3 linked regions of the Caenorhabditis elegans genome follow. The protein of the gene in region 1 interacts with the protein of each later gene in a pairwise test. Each region holds a gene or a part of one and is shown in the gene's direction. Other genes may lie near its edges.

Region 1 (11,013 bases):
CAAACAGTATTGAGCAAAATTATGTTTTACAAGATCATTGTCAAAGTTAGAAAGCATAAACTATTAATTAATGCAATACTGCTAGATAGAAACAAGTTCAGTGTAAAAAGCGTTCTCCTGTAAAAAGGTAAACATTAAAAAATTTAATAAGTTTTGTACAACCTACATAACTACTGTTGTAAAGAAAGGCCCCAAAAGCCCCCGGGGCGCTGCTGGCTAGGTGGGAACTAGGCGGACAAGGGGTTAAGGAAAAAGCAGGAAAGAGAGAAAGGAGAAGGAAAAAGCAGAAGAAGGAGAGAGACTAGTTAGAAGAGGGGTCTGGTGCTTCGCAGGCTGGTTGGCTGGGCTGCTGCTGCTGCTGCTGCTGCTGCTGCTGGCTACCCCGATCGAGGGCGAGAAGGCGACCGGCGACGACATTGCGCGTTTCTCTCCCTGTCTGTCTCTCTCCATCTCATAGTGAGAGGCCAACATCAAATTGCTTGCCGGGCGAGAGACGCAGCGGAAACTCCCCGTCTTTCCACTTTTTCCTCGCTTCACTACTACTAACCCCCGTGAGTCTGTCCGCTCACGCTTCACTCATCAGACCACCCTCCCGCACTCTCGCTCTCTCTTTTTCTTTCACGAATCAATGAGACCGCTGTGTGTATGTGTGTGTGTGTGCAGAGAGAAGAAGGAACGTAGGGTCAACTGAGAGGGTTTCATGTCGTGTAGAGACGGAGAAACCGCACCGCCGCACACTCACGCGCTCATGCGCTCACCACCGCACTCATAGACACTCATCGACGTGCGCTCGACCACTCACCACCATTTCTCTTCATCTCTGGTGGTTCTCCCCGTATCTAACAGTATATACGTCTGTGTGGCCAGTTCTACACACACACACACATACACACACTACCAATATATTTTCGATATGTGGGATGGACGGGACACACGAGCGAAGATGGACGGGATGAACAGCGGGACGGGCGACATGCCAAACTTGAAACACTTTTTGGTTGGAAATAGATTCGGAGAGAAATTGATTAGGAACTTGTTAATTGAGGATACTAAGGATATTTAACAGAAATTCACCAATTTTCTGAAAATTTGACATTACAGTGGTTTTTCTCTGTTATGAAAAGTTGGCTATATCGTAACTTTTTGTACTTTGTGAAATATTTAAATTCAAACAGGAGATGATAAATCTAAAAAGGAAAAAGATGAAACATTATGTTGAAATTCTTAAGACAGTGTTCATTAATTTGACACGCCAAAACAGCCGAGGCTATCAATTTTTGGTGACTGAATTTTTTCGACCTTGTGTGCCGCCACCGCTCGGGAACCAGAAACTGTGAGTGCTAGACAGTTGAGGGTTTGTTTTCCTTCGCATCAAGTTCACGTGACCCGGTGAGGTGGAAGAGAATTGGGAATGAGAAATCTATACTGTTTTTCACACGGAGAAGAAAACATGAAGAGAAACTTTTGAATAACGAGAAAAATGTTTTTCTTTTTCAAAATTGAAAATAGAAGACAAAAAACAAACACGCTGAGAGAAAAGAGGCAATTAATAAAAGAAAAAACGACCAGTAGAAAAAGCAGGTGTTATTAGGCTCCGGGAGAGAGAAAGGGTCAAGCGGGAAGTGTTGGTAGTGTGGTCCAGCGCGGAACAAGATCGCGAATGCGTGTAGCAATTGGACAGATGGGTCGTCGAGATAGTACGCGTTGCACAGAGATGCCGATGGTGAGCGTAGGGCCCAGCGCACTGCCTCCCACCTATCGTTGATCAATCGATTTCTTACTCGCGTCTCGAGAGGGGCTACTCAATCAACACATTTCTAACACTTGACTAAAAGTTTTACATGGTTTAACTCTTTTCTTTTTTGTTGATAATCTTTTATCAATAGATTTCAAACTTATATGCTATTCATAGTTCATTATTGAAGCTTCTAGTTAATTATTATGACATTGAAATATTTTTTTAATTTGCTATCACAAAGAAAGAAACCAATTGTCACATAGAATCAAAAAATTGGCATTTTCTATTCAATAACCCATATATTAAATCAATAATCACTAACGCATAAAATGATCCTAAAATACTTTTGATGATTTTCAAATGATTTGTTCAAGGAAACTTAAAGCAATTTATGTGAAAATTCGATAAAACTCAGTATCAAAGAAAAAATAAAATAAAACCAAATAAAACTAAATAAAACTAGGTAAAACTAAGTAAGTAAGTAAAATCGAAAAAGATTCTAAAATATTTAAAAAAATCAGAAGTCAAAAATCCAATTCTACAAGATGATAAACCGACGAATTAATTTTTGTTCGTAATTCCTAGAACTACTGTGTTTTTCATTGCAGTATTTCTTGCAATACCATTTTTTGACTGTTTATATTTGAAATTCAATATACAAAACTGGAATTTACGTAGGATTCAAACAAAAATGTGCACATTTAGAAACAAAATTATACGAGCATTTTGAAGACGCTGGGAATCATAGAAGATCCATGAAAAATACCATGGGGTGCAAAATTGATACAAAACATACCATACCTAAAATTATTAAACGAAAAACTACACATTAAATATCAAAATAGTTTTAAAAAAATTCGTCATATAAAACATATTCTCTTTCCTCATATTTTTGTTTCGAAGTTTTTGTTTCTATTGTTTATGTTTTCGGCTAGCTTCATCATATTTTGCTTTTCATCCTGCCCATTTGTTGTTCAGTACACATGATTCAAAAACAAAAAAACTGGAAAAAACAGCAAAAACATAAGTTTCTTCATTTTGGATTTCGACCACGTCAGAGATTAACACGGATAAGCCGCGATAATCAGAACTAAACTAAACGATTTTGGAAAGAAGGTCTTCCACACGAACGCGTGTAATTATATAATTAGGAACTTGCATTTCGGGTCAGGTCACTTGAAACCTTTTAGTGTAGTTTAATCGAAACTGCGTTTGACCGCCCGAGACGGGTTTGTGTTAGTTTTTTGTTGTTGAGTATTTGTGACTTATACCAGAAATTGTCACTTTTAGTTTGGTCTTACAGTTTAGAGTATTGGTATATTATCAAATTAGATTTAATTCAATTTTAAACTAATGAAAATGTTTCTACATTGTATGTATTAGCTCACGAAGTGTCTTCTTATCATTCGTAAAATTTGGGAACATGTTGCACTGGCAACAATATTCATGGTTTAGTTTTGTTTAATTTTTTTCCAGAATACATATAATTTTGTATCATTTTTTCATGTATTCTTGTGGCGTCAATGTGTCTCATTTTGGTTTGATCTACGTAGACCTACAAAAAATGCAGGAGTTCAGACGCAGAGTTCTCAACTGATTTTGCACGGTTAAGAACGCGCTGGCGTCAATTTTTTTTCGATTGAAAAACTCCCGCATTTTTTGTAGATGAAACCGTAATGCCTGACACCGTGGGCCTGACACCACGTTTGTATTTGCATTCAAAATATTCATTCATTCAAGATGTGAAGTTAAAATTCATGTTAGTATTAGCTTCATGTAGTTTAGTTGAAAAATGACCACGTGAGAATTACGTTATTGATTAAATATTTCTAGGTATGATTGCCATATTAGCACCCAAATAAATGTCTAATTTTTCTCACCTATTTTTTTCTCGTTCTACATTCAATCTTGATGATTCACTATTTAATCGAAACTAATCTCAGGGTGAATGAATCGAGGGGACGTGATAGATCCGCGCTCGTCGGATGGCACATCATCGGATCAGCGACGAGTGCATGCAGTGCCACCGACACCCATGTATCAGGGAGAGACGAACATTTTAGACTCACTTCTAAAGGAGGCTCAGTTGAATCCAAGTCTGAAAGCGAGTGGTGAGCAATATCGAACCAGGGGTCCTGCAATTCGAAAAACTATTTTTCAGTGATGAACCACCAGGCTCAAACAAAAAGCAAGGATGACGACGAGAAGCGGTTGCAGAAGATGCTCGAAAAATATCAGCTTGAAATGAACATGCAAAGAGCAAACAGCCGGAAGGATTTACATGGAAGTGCAGGACGTGCGTGTGACATTTTTTGTTTTTTTTCTGTTTTTGGTGGATTGATGAAAATAGTATATTATTTCAGCATCACCTATCAGTCATTCTCAGCCATGTCTTATTGCGAGTGGATCAAGATCGTCAGAGTAAGTATTGGTTTTATGATGTTTTTGAAACGTTATACGGTAAACTGTAAAATTTTTTTTGAATGTATCAATAACTTTATCCACAGTGTTTCCCACTATGCATTAATTTCAGCCACACTTTTTAAATAAGGAAATTTGTAGCATTTTTTTTTTCATTTTATAAAATTATAAAAATCGTAGAAAACATTTTGGTGAATTTAATAAGTAGTAAGTGACGAATACTGAAAAATTGCTAGATTTCTCTCTTTTTTTTTTGTGAATAAAAAATTCAAAAATTATAACAAGAGTTTCATTTTTATATTTAATCACTATATTCGTATGGAAAAACTTTTAAACAACTTCCGCACAGGTTTTTAGCTAAACGATTATCTAAAATTAAAACTTCCTACTTTCAAGTTGCATTTCAAAAAACAAACAAACTTTTTTGACAAACTCAACATTTTTCCTGAGATATTTTTTTTACAAAAAAAAGCTTGACCTTCTTCTTTTAAACATTAATAATTTCAGTATTCCCCCAAATGAATCAAAAATGAGCACATCTGCCTATCAGCGTAGGGCATCTGCATCTGGAGATCAAGCACTTGACGTCCCCACATTGAGCCAAACTAACAGAGTAAGAACTTCAACAAGCAACAGCAAAACAAACAATTATTTTAGGGAGTATCCAGCAACCAGAAGCTCATTCAAATTCTCCGCGAGGAGAATGTGCACTTGAAAAAAGAGCTCGACGCTTTCAAGCGCAGTCTTTCAAAACTACAACAGGTTTGTTGGAAGTTTCAAAATAGTGGGAAACCTAAATGCTTGCAGATTGAATACTCATATGCTCGACTGGAAAAAGAATACGAATACTTGGCAAATGAACGAAAAAAGCAAGAAAATTTAGAGCTGAACGTGATTATTCAATTGGAAAAGTCTGTAAAAAAGTAAGTTGGTTGAAAATCTTGTCGGTAAAAAGAGACAACAATTTTCTGATATTTATATCTAATGAAGGCAATATAAAAAAGTTTCCATTTAAAAATGAATTGAAAACTATTTCACAAAATTCACGAGCAGCACTTTTTTGTTGTTTGGGGCAAACTAGACAAACATTGAACACAACTAATATCATTGAAGTTCACAACAATAATGATTTGATTAAACAAACTTGGGCAAAATACTCTTCGCATTTGGCTCTTGCAACTTGCCCAAGTTTGGCCCAAAAAATCTTAACTTGGCTTAGAAGTTGGCTAAACTTGAGAAAAAGGATTGAGACTGCACCAGAGTTTAACCAAAGCCGAACTCTACTCTTACCCTACTTTAAACCCAACTCTTGCCAAACTTTGGCCCAAACTTTTCTTGTTTCGTTTCAAACTTTGGTAGAAGTCTGGCGAGAGTTGGGTGAAACTTGTGTTGAACTTTGGTGTAATTTTTGCCGAAGTCTTGCCTAACTTTTGGCCAAGTTGCGCCAATCCATGTTGATATTTTGTAGGACAAAGTTGGGCAAGAAGCCAGAACCAAATGCCGAGTAAGCAAAAAAAAGCTTATTTCATACAAAGTTTTACACGGGCATATTTTTCTGAAATTTTACAATATTTTTATTTTAAAAAGTTTATCCAAAAAAAAAACTGACAAGCGGCAATATATCAAACAAACATCCAATCAACAGGAAAATCCATTATCTTCTAAAAATCTTAGTTTCAGACTTACCATCGAAAGAGACGACTTGCAAATGCGGCTGGAAAAAGCAAGTACTGAACCAACGATGGTGGCGAACCTGATGTTAAACGAAATTCAGCAGAGTGAGGAGAAAAAAAGAAATAAATTTGATACAATAGAACTGGAAACAGAGAAGCAGAATGAGAAATATGAAAAAAAAAACGAATAAAATACTTATACAATTGATTTTTTTCCGATTCAGGGCAAGAACTCTTCGCATGCAAAGAGCGGCAAAAAATGGAGATTGAGGCACAGAATCAGACGTTGGAGGAGCAACGAAATCATATTGCAATGCTTGAGAAGGCACTCGCCAATTCACAAGAGAGATTGGCGAAGCGGGAAAAAGTATGGAATATTTGTGGGAGAATGTGCTGAGCGGAATGGATAACATTTCCAATTTATTTATGGGAAAATGGGGGGAGAACAAAAGTATAGGACCACAACAGTGTACTTTTGATAAAAGTGAACAGTTGTTTGGGTATTTTGTGAATATGGAGAATTTCTGAACATATAGACTAAAAATGTTTTCAAATGAACGAAATTCGTAATGAAACTTCTCCAAAAATTTAAAATTTTTTTTTCCTGACTGTTAGCTAAAATCTCTAATTTAGAATATTTTACCGTGTCGCAGTAGTCGGAAATTGAAGTTTTTGAATTATGATCTCACTTCGTTGATTATGGTACATTTAGAGCCCATTGGTGGCCAGGTTTGGTCACCTTTGGCCACTTTTTCGGTTTTTAAGGATTTTGATCAACATGACTTCATAACGAGACAACCCAAAAATAAATAAAAAATTGTCTCACTAGCCGGAAATCAATTTTTACTTGAAATAGATTTTTAACAGTTGTCTCATTTTTTTTGTTTTTGATGAGACACTCCAATTGATATAATAATGAATAAAAGTGAAACGCGAAAAAAATTTGCAAACTGACGTGGGAAAATAAGAAATGAAAAAAAACTTCCATGTGATACAAACAACAATTGAAAACGTGCTGTGTTTAGAAACATTCAGAACTTGTCTATCAATTTTTTTTCTATTTTCAAGGTAATTTTAAAGGCACTCAAATAGTTATGTACCATTACTTTTGCATTCATATTCAAAAAATATTGCGAAATTCAAATTTTAATTTAACTTTGCAATATACCTTGCACTTCCGGACTTCTCTAAAAAATGTTTTTTGCTTTCTTAACTTACATTAAAAATATTTTTTAAAGCTCCCAAATCAAAACTGTTTTCTTGATAGTACGTTATCTTTTTTTTGAAATTAAAATTCAATAAGAAACACTTTTTCTAGAAATGCGAAGAATTGTCCGCTGTAGTGGCACACGCTGATGAGCTGCGAAAGCAACTAAACGAAGTATGGGAAGAACAACATCGGAGGGATCAGATGGTTGAGTCGGAACGGGCTCAGTGGGAAATGGAGAAGACTCAGCTAAGAATGCAATTGAACAAAGACACATCACTCACTGGAAGTCTTAAGGTTTGTCTCGAAACAGGGAGAGAAATAGTAGTAAATGAAAGTAATGTGGGGTGTGCTAGGAAAAGGGGGGGGGGGGGCGACAACATTTGAACCGGTTCCCGATTATGGGGTTAAATGTCCGGTAATGAAAGTTTTATTGATATAGATCAGCACCGGTCTCAGTATTTTTTTTCTGAAAATTAGATGGGACGCCTATAGGTTAGTACATTTGAAAACGTTTGCAGAGGGTCTAAAGAGCGTCATCATTTTTCTAATATATACCATTAAAAAATGGAGAATTAAAAATTTTTCTAGCATCTCATAATTTTTTTACTGGAAATTAAAATTATAAACTATTATTATTAGTTTATCTTCTATAACAATCTTATCCTAGATATTGCCGTCTAAGCCGTCTTTGTACATAGTAGTACATAAGCCCTGAAATAGAACATGCCAGAACATCTATAGAATTACTCATGGAATTACTAACCACTACTCATTTGCATAATCATCAATTTTGCAGCGAACCACTACTCCCGGCAGCACAGAGGATCTTATTCGAATGCGAAAGAGCATTCAATCAAAAGACGACAAGATTCAGCAACTCGAAAGAATGGTGAACGATTTGCGAAAGTTTGTTTTTTTTTCTTTCTCTCTTCTTTTATTCTCTTCGTTTGTTGAAGAACTGAGCCGAAAACGGAAATGGAGAGCAGAATTGAAAAAGCTTTTTTTAGAACTCACGGTGACAAAACTGAGCAACGGAAGTCAACTCTTGCAACAATAACTGACAACTTTGAAACCCAGGTGGACAAATTGAAAGAGGAGAGTTATGAAAAGGTGAGGCAAGAACTGCTGCTAAATTTTTTATACAAAATTTAAAACAAGTGAAAACATTTATAAGGGATCTTTTCAAAAATAGAGACGTTACTTTTCAAGGTTACGTGTTTTCTCACAGAAAATGTTTTCAATAAATTGTTTAAAGTTTCCCAGTTGCCCCTTATACATATTAACATAATTTATTGTTACATATACTATATAGCACTAAATTTTCGGTCATAAACCCAGTTTATAAAAGCCTCAACAACCGCTCTCTTTCGTGTCCTCGGTAGTATAGTGGTGAGTATCCGCGTCTGTCACATGCGAGACCCGGGTTCAATTCCCGGCCGGGGAGAATCTTTTTGCCTAATAACTTTGGGAGTTTAATTCAAGAGAGTAATTTTAGATTGGTATATTTAATTATCGCGCCTAGAATAAATAAAAATGTTTCTGATATTTGATATACTAGAAATGAGCTTTATTTCTATTATAGAGAACATCAGAAAACACACTTTGAAATGAGCTCACAAATTACAACGGGCATATTCGATGAATAATTGATAAATTTTAGGATCTGATCATCAACGAACTGAGGTCGGAGCGGGACAAATATGCAGCAATGGTAGATAAAAGTGAGTATATGAAGCCCTAGTCGGGAAAAAAGAAAGGCAAAGGGGGAAGCGTCGACTGCATTTCTTTTGGCATGTGAAAAGAGCACTCTTCTTCCTCTCTCCTTTTTTTTCTCATTTCTTTTCTTTTTTTCCAGACAGCGGAGACGAGGCACTGAGTAGAATGGAGGAAATTAGACAGAAAATACAGGAAAGGAAGAAAAAAGGTCGAATGGGCGTGACTGGAGGGTAAGACGCAGTTTTATTAATTGCTCAAATAAATCAAATATAATTTCCTTAATTCCCATATTCCAGGCTATCAGAACATGCAAGAACTTCATCGGGCTCGTTGATGCAAAATTCTCTTCATCGGAGGTGAGACAAAAAATTATGAGACCGTTGTTTTTTCTTCCTAGGAAACTTTGCAAAAAGTACTCAAAATTTGAGTTTTCTGAACGAAAGCAAAACTACAGTGAATCTTGAACTTTTCTCTAATTGTAAGTTCCTTTTTAAGTTAGTTTTTGAGTATAAAATTTTCAGTTGAATACTTTCTAGAAACACACATAGGTCAAGCTGAAAATACTAGCTCCAGAATCTATTACGATTCGATAAACATCTTCAAAAGTAACAAACTATACAAAAAAAGTTGCAGATCATCATCTGGATCATCATTCGACCCTGTACCGACTGCTCCAATTCCTTACAATATGTTCAAAAATAGTAACAATAACAAGTCAATACTTGCGGATAACCAATTTTCTTGAATATTCCTCATGCACTAGTCATCGAAATTCTATTTATTATTTACAAACACGCTACCAACAACACACTTTCCTTCTTTGTTACTTTCTGTTACATGCATAATTCAATTTATTTTTCAATTCAAGTTTCCAAAGTCCATTCCTCTTAATACAATTTGTATGTAGTTTTGTTCTTTTAATTTTTAGCCAGTTTAGATGATGTACTTGTATTTTTTCCATCAGCTTCATAAGCTCATTCAAAAAGGCCATGTGTTTTGCTAGTTGCAATATCGTTTTAATAATTGTGATTGAAATGTTTCAAATGAAAATTATTTTCTAACCTTATAAAAATTATCAGATATACTTTTTGCTATATAGAAACTGAAAAAATGACCAGATGTGAACGAAAAGGGCAATGCTAATCGGTTTTAAAAAAATCCAGAAGGATTTCGAAGATGTAATGAAAATATTTTATTGAAAAACAAAACTGATTTGAAATATTTGAATATGTTCAGATATCAGAATTAGTCGAAATTCTGACACTTAAATTTTTGTTATCTAATTGGAAGTTCAGTTTTAATTTAAAAAAGATAGAACATGTTAAAACGGAATAGTGTTTTTAGTTTTTTACAGACTTCTGACATATCAAACAAGTAAAACATGTTTTTTTGATGGAAAAAAAAACTCTTAGCAATTTTTCTGGCTGCAATTTCCTCCAATTCTTTTTTGAACTTTCACATTATACTTTTGAATAAGCAAAATTACCCTTTAACTTAAAAAGTCTGAAAATAAACTAGAAAGAACATCAGTCTGATAAACTTTGGCTGTTCAAATCATTTTGAAACTACCATCACGTGAAAGAGCAGGGTTGATAACATACTTTCCGAAATTTTCGAATAAATCCATGTACAACAAAAAAAGTTATGAACTTCGACCCCTGGAAGTTATTTCTCTTCTTAATATGTAAATCATCACGTGAACTTAATCAGCTATGTTCTATTGTTCTTTCGGCGGGAGGATGGCCGAGTGGATCAAGGCGGCGGTCTTGATTCGGCCACCCGGGGGGTTAATGGTTCGACCCCCACACCCCTAGCCACCCTGTCAATGCCAGAAACACCGGCATTGACAGGCGAAGGAGCAGCTCGTGGATCATTTCACAAACAACCACGGCGGCGAACTTGGGCCGAGAAGGTCAATGAGGATCAGGCCAACTGGAGATCGACAAGCGAGCTGAAATGGATGAATGATAAATGATGTATGTATGACTAAAAATGAATGAATAAAAAAAAAGAAAAAAATACAATTTTGGAATTTTTTGGAAACCAAAAGGCAGACAAAAAACTTTTACATTTATCATTTTCCGTGAAACACAACGCGAAACTTTTGGACTGGATATGCTTACCGTAATATCATCTCAAATATTTCCATAAAATTGAATCTGTATTTTACTTGTGTTCTTCAAACGAAATTAACAGTTGCAAAATTTATATAAATATATTTATTGATCAAAAAGTAATGTGAATATGAGATCAAC
Region 2 (5,074 bases), about 13 Mb from region 1:
GCGCGACGGAAAAGTTGGAAAATTTTAGGATAGTAGCATAATTTTTTCAAAACTTTGCAACGATTTTTAGAAAATTTTAAAAACTTTCTAGAAATTTTCATAAAAAATTGTTTCATCTTAGCGCATTTTGAGACTATTACGAGAAAATACTCCGTTAGTTCTTTTTTAAAAGTGAAGTGAACTTATACCAGGTCTGTTCACATTTGTAGTCATTTTTATGAAATATGTCGTTTTTCAAACTTAACAATAGCGAGAATTTTTAAAATCTAAAATTTAAAATACTAAAATGTGAATTAATTATATATTAACATACATTTCAAAGCGTGGAAAAATTGCGGAAAACGAAAAAAAACCCAAAAATAACACATTGCATTTGGGCAGTATTTCGAAATCAAGAATCATACACTTCTTTACTTTTCTTGCACTTTAATAAAATCACGACATTTTCTAGCACTTATTATCAGATTATACCGAGTTGAACATGATTCAAAATTTGAAATTTCAGTCTCAGTTGCACCGTAAAAACCATAACAGTATTTTCTTCCTATTCTCTTTTCGCCATCAAACTTTTGCATAATCTCTTCAGTTCTCCATACGCTTCCTTATCACCACTGAAATCGGCATAAAGGGTTATAAAAGTGAAGCGTACAACACACACAGGTCAGTCAGTACAGGCTCCATAACCACGCCTTATCTTAAATCACCATCAAAAGTGTAATTGTTGGCTGATAACTCGGCGACGCCCGCCGTCGGTCATTTCTCTTCTAACGAAACTGTACGATTTTCTATTTTTCTTAAATTATACGTTCTAATTGTTCATGCTGTTTAGTCATCACACAACTAGTGGGGCTTTCTCCAGGTATTTGTTGAATGTTTCTATTTCACCAATGTCTACCGGTTTGAGTCATAGGTGAATTGAAGAGGAGGAGGAGGCAAGTGTTAATACAAATACGTACTTAGTTTCAAAATTTAAGTTTCTTTTTCTTTCTTTTTTTTTTGATTTGCGGAGGCAGTTTTATTTGACTTTGTCATAATTTATAATTCATTTCTGTCACCCCAGGCCACTGAATTCTCAAACTGCTACGCCTTGATCAAAAGTGAGGAGAACTGTGTGGCATTTACGTTGACTCTAATTCGAAAAGATAACAATTTTCATAGGCGTCGCATTTTCCTCCTTTGCCTCCCTGTCCTCGCTGGTTTGTTGTAGTTCTCCTCCCAAAGACCGGATTCAAAAGGTGGCATCCCAGAAAAAAAAACGTTCACCAGCACCCTTGACATATGCCTTACCCTACCCTTCATTCCATTTTATTAGACCCCCTTATTGCAATATAAAATTTCGATATTGCTGTTGTCTCTTTTTTTCCTGCATTTTTTATCTTGATACATGCATTACATCATCACCATCATCATCACCCATCTCCAACCAAATTACCTAATTAATTTTTACAAACTTTGCATAAGTTACTCATTCTGTCGTCAATGTGTGCTCGCCTACAACGACATAATTCATCGTCTTTTTCTCCATTTCCTCATTTCAGTTGAACACAATGGTCGTTGAGCAGAAAGAGCAAGAGCCTATTGTCAAGATGCGCGACCGCAATGTCAACGCTGCTGCACATTCTGCGTTGGCTCGTGGAATTGAGGCACTCAACGAAGGAGAAGTGACCGAGGAGACGGAAGGTGAAAACTCTTCTCAGATTCAGATTACTTATAGCATTGGTTTTTTTCAGAAATTCGCAAGCTGGACACCCAGCTTGATCATCTTAATGACTACATGTCTAAGATGGAAGAGCGTCTGAAGGCACACAACGACAGAATGATGGAGACGTTGAAGCAGCAGAAGGAAGAGCGCGAAAAGAGACGTCGCAGCTTCCACGAGGTAAGAATATTTTAATTTGGAAAGATAAAAGCACCTCTATTTCGCTCTTCTAGCTTTTTGCAAGAGTTTGGCAAGAGTTGAGCAAGAGTTGCGCAAGACGTAGTTTAAACTATTCAGTTTCACCTAGCTTTTGAAAAACTTTAGACAAAACTTTTTCTGTGTCTATTTTGAAGTGGGTAAGAGTTTTACAAAAGTAAAATCAAATCTTAGTAAGACCAAATCTTACAAGATTCACTGCACAATCACTAAATCAAATGTTTTCATTCCCTTATCATTTGCAACTTAGGGTTAAAGTCCAAACATCCATACTTTCAAACCTCGAAAACAAATTTTAGAAAGCCACGTATTTTCTCACGTGAAACATAACAAAAATTTACTAAAACACCCTGAAAGTTTAGACATAGTAAAAAAGTTTTTTGAATGAATGAAACCGTGGGAACTGCAGTTTTGAAAGTTAAACAACTAAACATCGCAGAACATTTTGCAAAAAAAAAAATGAGTAACCGGTATTTTTTTGCAGCGTATGTCCCAAAATCAATCTGAAGATGAGGAGTTCAAAAAGCAAATGAGCAGCATCCTGAAGAGAGTTCAATCTGTCAAACGCACCGAAAAATAAACCAGAATGCTTTTCAATTGGTACATGTACACTATTTAATGTATTACTTTCATACCAACAACATCCTCAAATCATTCACATTTTTAACCTTAAAGCTGTTTCGATACGAACTGTTGGAAAATGATTTGGTTCCTCGTTCTCTATATTTTTCATTCACTTTTTTTAATCGAACTTCCTTATTTTTTTCCTGTCCCCTGTCCCCCGCTCTCCACCACTTAACCACTTAACTATTAACTTTTTCTTTTCAAGCTTTGATCGTTCGCCGAATTCAATGCAAATATGTTTGGAAATAAAGTCAACGCCGCGTTCCATGTGGCACCGCATTGAGATGATGTTTAGAATAAAAGGTTATTGTTGTTCAGGAACACCGTTGTCAATGCCGTATACACATTGATAAGAGTCAGAATGAACTCTTGTTCTTGGAAGGGATCTATGATATCTTGATCCTTCCGCAAGAATGCGTAGTGATATTTGTAGTCCGTAAAAGTTTGATATTCAAGTTTGTTTATCTGATCGTTTGGCGTTGAAATGAAAATAATCATGCAAATTTGTGAAAAATAAATGTACTTTGGAAGCTCAATGAAAAAACTTGATTGGAAAAAATTCAAAAAAATTCTCAGAGCTTACTCAGCTAACTAAAGCTAAAGCTTACTTAACAAGGTGGAATTGAATGAAACACTTTTTGAGAAAACTATAGCTCTGTTCCATTTCCAGATTTCTACAGTGTTTGTTTTTTAAAATTCAAAGGAACAGTTTTCTGATCGACGATTTCCAAAAAATTGGCAAAAACCGAGGTTTTTCCAATTTTCAAAAAATGCCTTTCAATTGAGCTTTTAAACTATGATATTTTGGCACTGTAAAGCCATAGACATGTTGTGAAGAAGTTTTCCCACTGGCGTTACTCCACCGTTAAGGATAATTAATTCCGAAAATTATGAACCAAAACTGAACCTGAACTGTAAATTTTTGAGTTTGAAAATTTCAATTCAATTTCTACAATCATCAAACTTCCCTTTCCAAAATTATTTTTGCTTTCTTTTCCAGGTTTGTACTCCCTCCTTCTCCACTACACACCACAGACATTTTTCCAATTTTCTTCGCAAAAATAAATCCAAGACAAATAAATCTGTCTAGACGATGTCGTAAGTTTAGAAAACACTCCAAGAAACATCTGACACCCAAAAGGTGAATTCACGTGGATATCAGAACCGGCATCTGCCCTTCTGAAAACACCTGTACACGGGTAAAGTGTTGACAATATCCCGAACTTGTGTTCGTTTTTTAGAAATGATTTGCTTTCTACAACATCCAGTTGTTGATCTCTAGGACGCTAGAAGTTTCTTTGTAGATATTTCAAGTAGACACTTTGTCCTTTTTGGATGTCTGGTTGGTAAAATTGCCTGTGAAAAAGGAAAAAAGATTGATGTTGTCTGGTTAGTTTCATATTATGACTCAACTTTCTCAGACATTCCATTTTTTTTCAGAGTTTGTGATAAGGCTGGTTTTATGTGTTTATTGGTATAGTGTTACAACTTATTTAGCCTTACATTAAGCGTGTAAGAAAAAAGTGAAAATATTTTAATTTTGGCGAAAATATACAAAAAGTTATGGAAAAAGCAAAACATTCACCCCCTTTACTAACATTTCTCTTTTAAGAAAAAAAAAAGAAATTCAATTCATTCTGAAAGCTGCATTGCTTATAAACTCCAAATCCTCATGATTAAAACAAAGCAGACGATAATCGTTCTCAGTCAATACAGGGCCGCACGTTTCAAGCCGAATAATCTTTTTCGAATCTAAGTCCATCCAGAAATAAACCGCTATAATCTATTTTACTTTGATACAAATCCGATTGTGAGCATTGTCTTAGACTTCGAGAAGCCAACAGTTGCGGATTGAAGATTTGAACGATCAGTGGGATTTTTTTAATGGGATTTTCTTTTTTGGCAATTATGAAAATGGTATCTACACAAAACTAAGGCTTGGTAGTGCTCAAATGAACGAATTTCATAGTGAAACTTCCCAAAAAGTCTATAAAAAATTTTGAAAAATAGTTCACAACAACAAATCAATTTCGAACCGCTGCAACACACAAAATGATTAAAATTGGAGAATATAGTTAATTCGTTCATTTGAGCAAGTTTTGGGGCTACAATTTCAAAATACCCAGAAGCGTTACTCCTTTTGTAACTAATAATGTTTCTTGTTAAGTACAGGGTTTGTATCACAAAAAAAAATCATCAAGTCATATACCCTTAGGTTCATCAAATGAGATAACCCTTGAAAATTGAATTTACAACAATATTTGCTTCTTTGATAATAATATGGGGATCGAAGGCCAGTGCACTTTGATTTTCATGTGATAAAACCCGTAGTGTTAATTCATCAATGATGATAGGACAAAAACTAAAATATTTTATCATATTCACGGAACATGATATCCTAATACAGGTCAAAGATAATTATCAAAATGATTGCCTGAACTGTGAACAGTATAATCAATTTTGTGACTTTTTAAAAGATTGTTTATTTGTAGATCTGAAAATTAAAACTTTACGCTAGAAACGTTCTATAGTTTT
Region 3 (5,794 bases), on another chromosome or scaffold:
CAAAAAGCAAGTAAAACCAATAAAATGAGATCCTTTAAGGTTTAAACGTAACAGATGGATTTTAAAAAAAGTAAAAATTAAAATATTGTGAAATAACGTGGTGATAGATAAATTATGATACAGCGAATCGTTGAAAACCAGATCATTCCGCTTGGCACAGTCCGAGAAAATCGTCCATCAAGGTTCCGATGGCAAAAATGTCGTTAGCATCGACACGTGTTCCGATGAGCTTCACACGGATCTCATCATCATTCCGAATCACATTCGCCTCATCATTGGTCTTGTAGCACGGTTTCTCACTGTTCGGATCGAATTCCATGTCTGGTGGAATACAATGACGACTGATGAAGCATGAAAGTGGTCCGATATCACAGAAAATGCCGACTTTATTGACCTGTGTGACGACTCCATCGACGACTTGTCCTTTGAACGGGCGGAACACGATGGCCTTGTAACGGACCGGGTAGATGACGAATCCACGGCCAGGCTGGATCAGGCCGTGGCCGATCGTGTCGATTGTGGTGACTGCGATGACGAATCCGTACTTTCCTGTGCACGTTCCCTCGACTTCGTTGAACAGCTTCATTTTGATGGTTTCGTTCAGGTTTGGACCGAAATATTTCGGATGGAGGCAGACTTCATGGTCGAGTGACAAGTGGAAGAACATCTGAAAGTTCTTAAATTTGTATTTAAAAGAGGAAATCGTAACGGTTCTGGGTTTTTTAGTGATTTTTTTTGGTTTAAAACTCAAATTTCTATCGATTTTTGCATGTAAACTCTGTGTTTCAAGCATAAAAATCGTTTTTTAAAATTTAATTTTTACTATTAAAACAGGAGTAATTTTTAACGTTGAAGATCCAAAATGTGCTCAAATGGACGAATTTCGTAATGAAATTTCTCAAAATTCCGAAAAACCCGGCTAAGTTCACTTGTTCAGTAAGCCCGTTCAGAATATACCCAGATTTAAACCAAATTAAAACCGTACAAGCCTATATTGTGAATTTATCTGCACAAATTTGGTTTGGATCTACACAAACCTACACAAATTCAGTTTACATCTACTCAAACTTGCAATCTATGCAAATTATGTTTGAATCTAGACAATCTTGGTTTACATCTGCCCAAAATTAGAATTTTTCATAATATAGGCTTGTACGGTTTAAATCTGGGTATATTCTGAACGGGTTTACTGAGTGGAATAGCGAAATTTGGCCACTTTTCCGCGTCGCGGCGATGGAAAGTTCACTTTTTTTTAAATTATCATCCTTTATTGCTTAAAAACGTGAGATAATCGATCAAATTATGCAAAAAGAGATGAAAATTCCAAAAAAGTCCACTTCCAATCGCTGCGACATGGAAAGTAGCCAGAATTGGAGATTTTACCCGACATAAAAAATGTTCGAGCACTCTTTAAGAATTTTTATTGCAAAATTCGCTTATTTGAGCATATTTCGGTCTTATACATTCAAAATACCTAGAATCTTTACTCCTAAAAGTTAAAAACCCCCTTAGAGAAATTTTATGCACGAATTCTGGATTTTACACACAAAAAATCGATTTCTGATCAAGTATTTATTGCGTAAAACAAGAAAATTGAGTTTTAAAACCAAAAAAAAACAATTAAAAACGAAAAAATCCACCAAAATCTATTCGAAAAATAAATAAATTTCGTACACGAAGCGTAAGCGCACCAGTTGCGTGCCAACGAGACGAAGAATGCGCCAGCAGGCGTCCTTGGCGCATATCTCGTTTTTCTTTTATTTTGCCAACTCCGCTCGGTTTTTCCTCTTTAAAATCGAATATTTCACATATGTACACACTTTCGGCGGGTATCTGGGAGAAATTCTTCAAGAAAAAAGACTATTATGTGGTGATAGTCGGTCTGGATAATGCTGGAAAAACTGTAAGTCTCTTGAATTTGAGATCTCACCGATTAATATCAGAAATTATCGATTTCAGACGTTTCTGGAGCAAACAAAATCTCACTTTGTAAAGGACTACGGGGTTCTGAATCCATCAAAAATCACGGCGACAGTTGGTTTGAATAGTAAGCCTCTAAAATGAATTAAAAATCAAAAAATTTTTTTTTTCAATTTTCAGCTGGAAATGTCGAGCTCAACAACACATGTCTTCATTTCTGGGATCTCGGAGGCCAGGAGAGTTTACGAGAACTCTGGGCGACATATTACGACGATGCAAATGCCATGATTTTTGTTGTGGACGCAACAAGGAGCGATCTCTTCCCAATAGTAGCATCTCAGTTTAGTAAGTAGTTTGAAATTGAAATAAATCAAATTTATACCAGAAATAATAATAATAATACGAATATTTCAGAAGAAGTAATGGCCAACGAAATAGTTCAAAATATTCCAGTTTTAGTAGCGGTGAATAAAAGTGAAATGGAAGGAGCCGCCGCTGCCGCTGAGGTCAGATTTTTCTCAAAAATCGAAAAAAAAAACCGAAATTCCTGCATTAAAATCATATTTTCCAGGTCCGAATGCTGCTCGAAGACGACAATCACCGCTCGGACCTTGCAGTTCTTCCGGTTTCGGCGCTAGAAGGAACAAATATCGAAAGATGTGTTCACTGGATCGTCCGATCGTTGGCTAGCCAGCCATTATACCTTTAACCTCTCGGGTAGCTGTATATAATAATTATAATCTATTGCATACTGACATGAATAGAAGAATCCTGTGATGATTTCCTAACCTCACTGCAACTTTTTTGAATGAGGGACGAGGAAATACGGTTTCTAGGCCACGGCCGGGGATCCGACAAGATTTAGCGGCAATTTATTTTGCTTTGTTTTCCGCGTTTTTTCTTTGGTTTTTCACCGATTTTTCTCCCGTTTTTTTCTTATTAACACTGATGAATAAATATTTTTTGCAGATGCTAGAACAATTTCCAACTGAAAAATTGTGTAGCGATGGATTACGGGAATACTAAACCTAAACTTTTTCCGAATCATGAAATATATGCTGCTTAGAGGCTGAAACTACCTGATTTTCATAACGAGACCGCTGAAAAAGTTTTGAGATTTTTAAAATTCAACTTTTTTGGTGAAAAAGTCGATATTTTCGCACAAAATGTTGAATTTTAAAAATCTCAAAACTTTTTTTCAGCGGTCTCGTTATGAAAATCAAGTAGTTTCAGCATCTAAGCAGTATATATATCATGTTTCGGAAAAAGTTTAGGTTTGGTATGCCTGTAATCCATCATATTACATTGATCATTTTCACCGCTTCTTGCCGATTGTTCTAGCATCTGCGAAAAAATATTTATCCATCAGTTTTAATAGGAAAAACGGGAAAAAAAACTGTGAAAAACAAAAAAAAAAACAAGCGGAAAACAAAGCAAGATAAATTGCCGCTAAATCTTGTCGGATCCTCGGCCATGGCCTAGAAACCGCATTTCCTCGTCCCTCGTTTAAGAAAAGTTGCAGTGAACCCCTTCCCCTCTACCATGTTTTAATACGGTTTCGGCTGATCTGACTTATTACACAAAAAAATGATATTAGTATTTAAGTATTAAATATTTTTGTTTATATCGTGCAATAAAAATTCTTTTTTTAATTGATTATTTACAAAATTTCAGAAAACGAAAGCTTGTGAGTTATGAGATTAAATAGGAATTGGCACCGCGTGGATGGTTAAAGAGATCGGGAAAAATAAAACGCTACTCCAGAAATAATTCGAGTTCGAGAATTGAAAAATATTTTAAAAATTTGAAAAAGTGGAAGAAAAATCAATAAATCGATAATAACTGTTGAAATTAAAAGATCGATTCGTGAAAAGAGGCAGAGCGTAATTTTGCAATCCTGCGGCACGGTTTTGCTGATTTTTTCTATAAAATTTCGATTTGAATTCTCTTTTTTTTTTAATAAAAAGACTATCCAATTTAGTTTTTATTTAAAAAAAAAGAGAATAAAACGGGCGTCAAAATAGGTGGAAAAACCGTGCCGCAAGGTTGCGAAATTACGCTCCGCCTTTTTTTCTGTGCACGGCTATCGATCGTTGACTTCCAACAGTACACCAAGAATTATCTAAACTGGAGTAAGTGTATGAATTGGATCTAAAAGAGAACTATCGATAATTTGTGTGGGATCAGCGGCGAGAGAAGTCGCCGAATTTCGGCGTTGTTGAGGAGTTATTGCCCATCGGAAGCGTTCGTAAAGTGTGCCGGTACCGCTGAGCAGGTAGATTATTGCGAAGACAGGAATTGCGAGGACTGAGAGAAGTCTCAGGAACCAACCTGGAAATATTGGATTTAAAACTAATTGCTTTGAATTCTCATGCAAAACTTATATTTTTCACGTGGTGCCAGGCTGTCCCATCACGGTTTGATCTACAAAAAATGCGGCATTTTTTTCCCCAAAAAATGTGACGTCAGCACGTTCTTAACCGTGCAAAATCAGTTGAGAAGTCTGCGTCTCTTCTCCCGCATTTTTATAGATCAACGTAGATCAAACCGAAATAAGACACTCTGACACCACATGATTTTTTCATGATAGCGCAAAAAATTTCCTCTGGTTACGGTAGATTTAAAGGCGCATAGCTAACAAATATCTTTCGTTGCGAGGCCATAGCTTAAAAAATTTTTGAATTAAAAAAAAACATCAATTTTGTCTTTTATTTTAGTTTTTTCAAGAAAAATATTTCTTGCGCGTGGGGGACTGGCGAAAAAGAGTCTCGACACGAGCATTTTTTGTTTTCTGAAAAGGTGTGTGCCTTTGAAGTGTACTGTTGTTTCAAACTCTATTACGGAAACACAAAAATCTGAGAATGCGTATTTCGCAACATATTTGACGCGAAAAATATCTCGTAGCGAAAACCACGGCCCGGCGAAAGAGACGTGGCCGCGAGAGCTGCGCCGGCTAGGCCACCGCCTCCTATGGTTAAGATTTTTGAACGAATAAACATTTTTAATTTGGCTGCTAAGCTCATTTATCTTTGTTTTTTCTCGTTTTTTCTCATTTTTATCGATAAAAATATATTTTTTGTTGCAGAAAATCACAAAACCGCGGCAAAACAGCACTCAACCGCCAACTGGGAGGAGGAAAATCCGAAAAAAGAGTTTTTTCCATCTAGTGAAAAAATCCTATAGAATTTTATATTAAAAATGCCTTCATAGCATTTGTCTTGATGCCAGCTTTCGAAAAAGTACAAGAAAACAAACTTTCATGTCGAAAAAATCGAGAAAAATTGAAAAATGTGAAAAAAATGCACTACGGAGATTTTCGTGTCTGGAAAATCCCAACATTCCTATAGAATTTCGATATTTTTTTGACGTTTTTGCGTTTTACTGGACGAGATCTTTTTAAAAACACCAAAAAATCGAGGCCCCATGTTCAAAAAGTGAACTTTTTTAAAAAGAAAATTTCAATAGTACTGAAATTAAAAAAAAATTTTTTTTCGAAAAACTGTATAGAATTTCGATATTTTTTTGACATTTTCACGTACTACTGGACGAGATCTTTCTAAAAAGACCAAAAAATCGAGGCTCCATGTTCAAAAAGTGAACTTTTTTTAAAAAGAAAATTTCAATAGTACTGAAATTTAAAAAAATTTTTTTTCGAAAAACTGTATAGAATTTCGTTTTTTTTTTGACGTTTTTGCGTTTTACTGGACGAGATCTTTTTAAAAACACCAAAAAATCGAGGCCCCATGTTCAAAAAGTGAACTTTTTTTAAAAAGAAAATTTCAATAGTACTGAAATTTTTAAAAAATTTTTTTCGAAAAACTGTATAGATTTTCGATATTTTTTTGACATTTTCACGTTCTACTGGACGAGATCT

What was found. Proteins that work in one complex are often made in the same cells at the same time.
Region 2: the proteins of F59C12.3 (region 1) and bbln-1 interact in a two-hybrid assay, tested with the Caenorhabditis elegans proteins (one large-scale study listed by BioGRID).
Region 3: the proteins of F59C12.3 (region 1) and Y54E10BR.2 interact in a two-hybrid assay, tested with the Caenorhabditis elegans proteins (one large-scale study listed by BioGRID).

Annotation. Positions count from the first base shown.
Region 1 is NC_003284.9:16,602,193-16,613,205, reverse strand, and holds F59C12.3 (Angiomotin_C domain-containing protein), read left to right. Parts: upstream 1-3,681; 5' UTR 3,682-3,686; coding exon 3,687-3,849; intron 3,850-3,899; coding exon 3,900-4,034; intron 4,035-4,101; coding exon 4,102-4,159; intron 4,160-4,329; exon of another isoform or gene 4,330-4,554; intron 4,555-4,666; coding exon 4,667-4,772; intron 4,773-4,816; coding exon 4,817-4,921; intron 4,922-4,966; coding exon 4,967-5,082; intron 5,083-5,839; coding exon 5,840-5,937; intron 5,938-6,056; coding exon 6,057-6,199; intron 6,200-7,150; coding exon 7,151-7,336; intron 7,337-7,838; coding exon 7,839-7,948; intron 7,949-8,049; coding exon 8,050-8,152; intron 8,153-8,403; exon of another isoform or gene 8,404-8,496; intron 8,497-8,702; coding exon 8,703-8,763; intron 8,764-8,897; coding exon 8,898-8,988; intron 8,989-9,054; coding exon 9,055-9,114; intron 9,115-9,391; coding exon 9,392-9,503; 3' UTR 9,504-9,815; downstream 9,816-11,013. Other genes in the region: F59C12.4 (uncharacterized protein), read left to right, coding at 10,584-10,733.
Region 2 is NC_003284.9:3,148,926-3,153,999, reverse strand, and holds bbln-1 (Bublin coiled-coil protein), read left to right. Parts: upstream 1-1,538; 5' UTR 1,539-1,547; coding exon 1,548-1,680; intron 1,681-1,730; coding exon 1,731-1,879; intron 1,880-2,399; coding exon 2,400-2,495; 3' UTR 2,496-2,852; downstream 2,853-5,074. UniProt on the Caenorhabditis elegans protein: Dynamic component of the endotube in intestinal cells, interacts with intermediate filament and regulates intestinal lumen morphology.
Region 3 is NC_003279.8:3,031,196-3,036,989, forward strand, and holds Y54E10BR.2 (ADP-ribosylation factor-related protein 1), read left to right. Parts: upstream 1-1,743; 5' UTR 1,744-1,810; coding exon 1,811-1,903; intron 1,904-1,959; coding exon 1,960-2,047; intron 2,048-2,100; coding exon 2,101-2,265; intron 2,266-2,334; coding exon 2,335-2,426; intron 2,427-2,491; coding exon 2,492-2,629; 3' UTR 2,630-3,572; downstream 3,573-5,794. Other genes in the region: rpb-7 (DNA-directed RNA polymerase II subunit RPB7), read right to left, coding at 143-667, 1,675-1,743; mod-5 (Transporter), read right to left, coding at 4,043-4,251.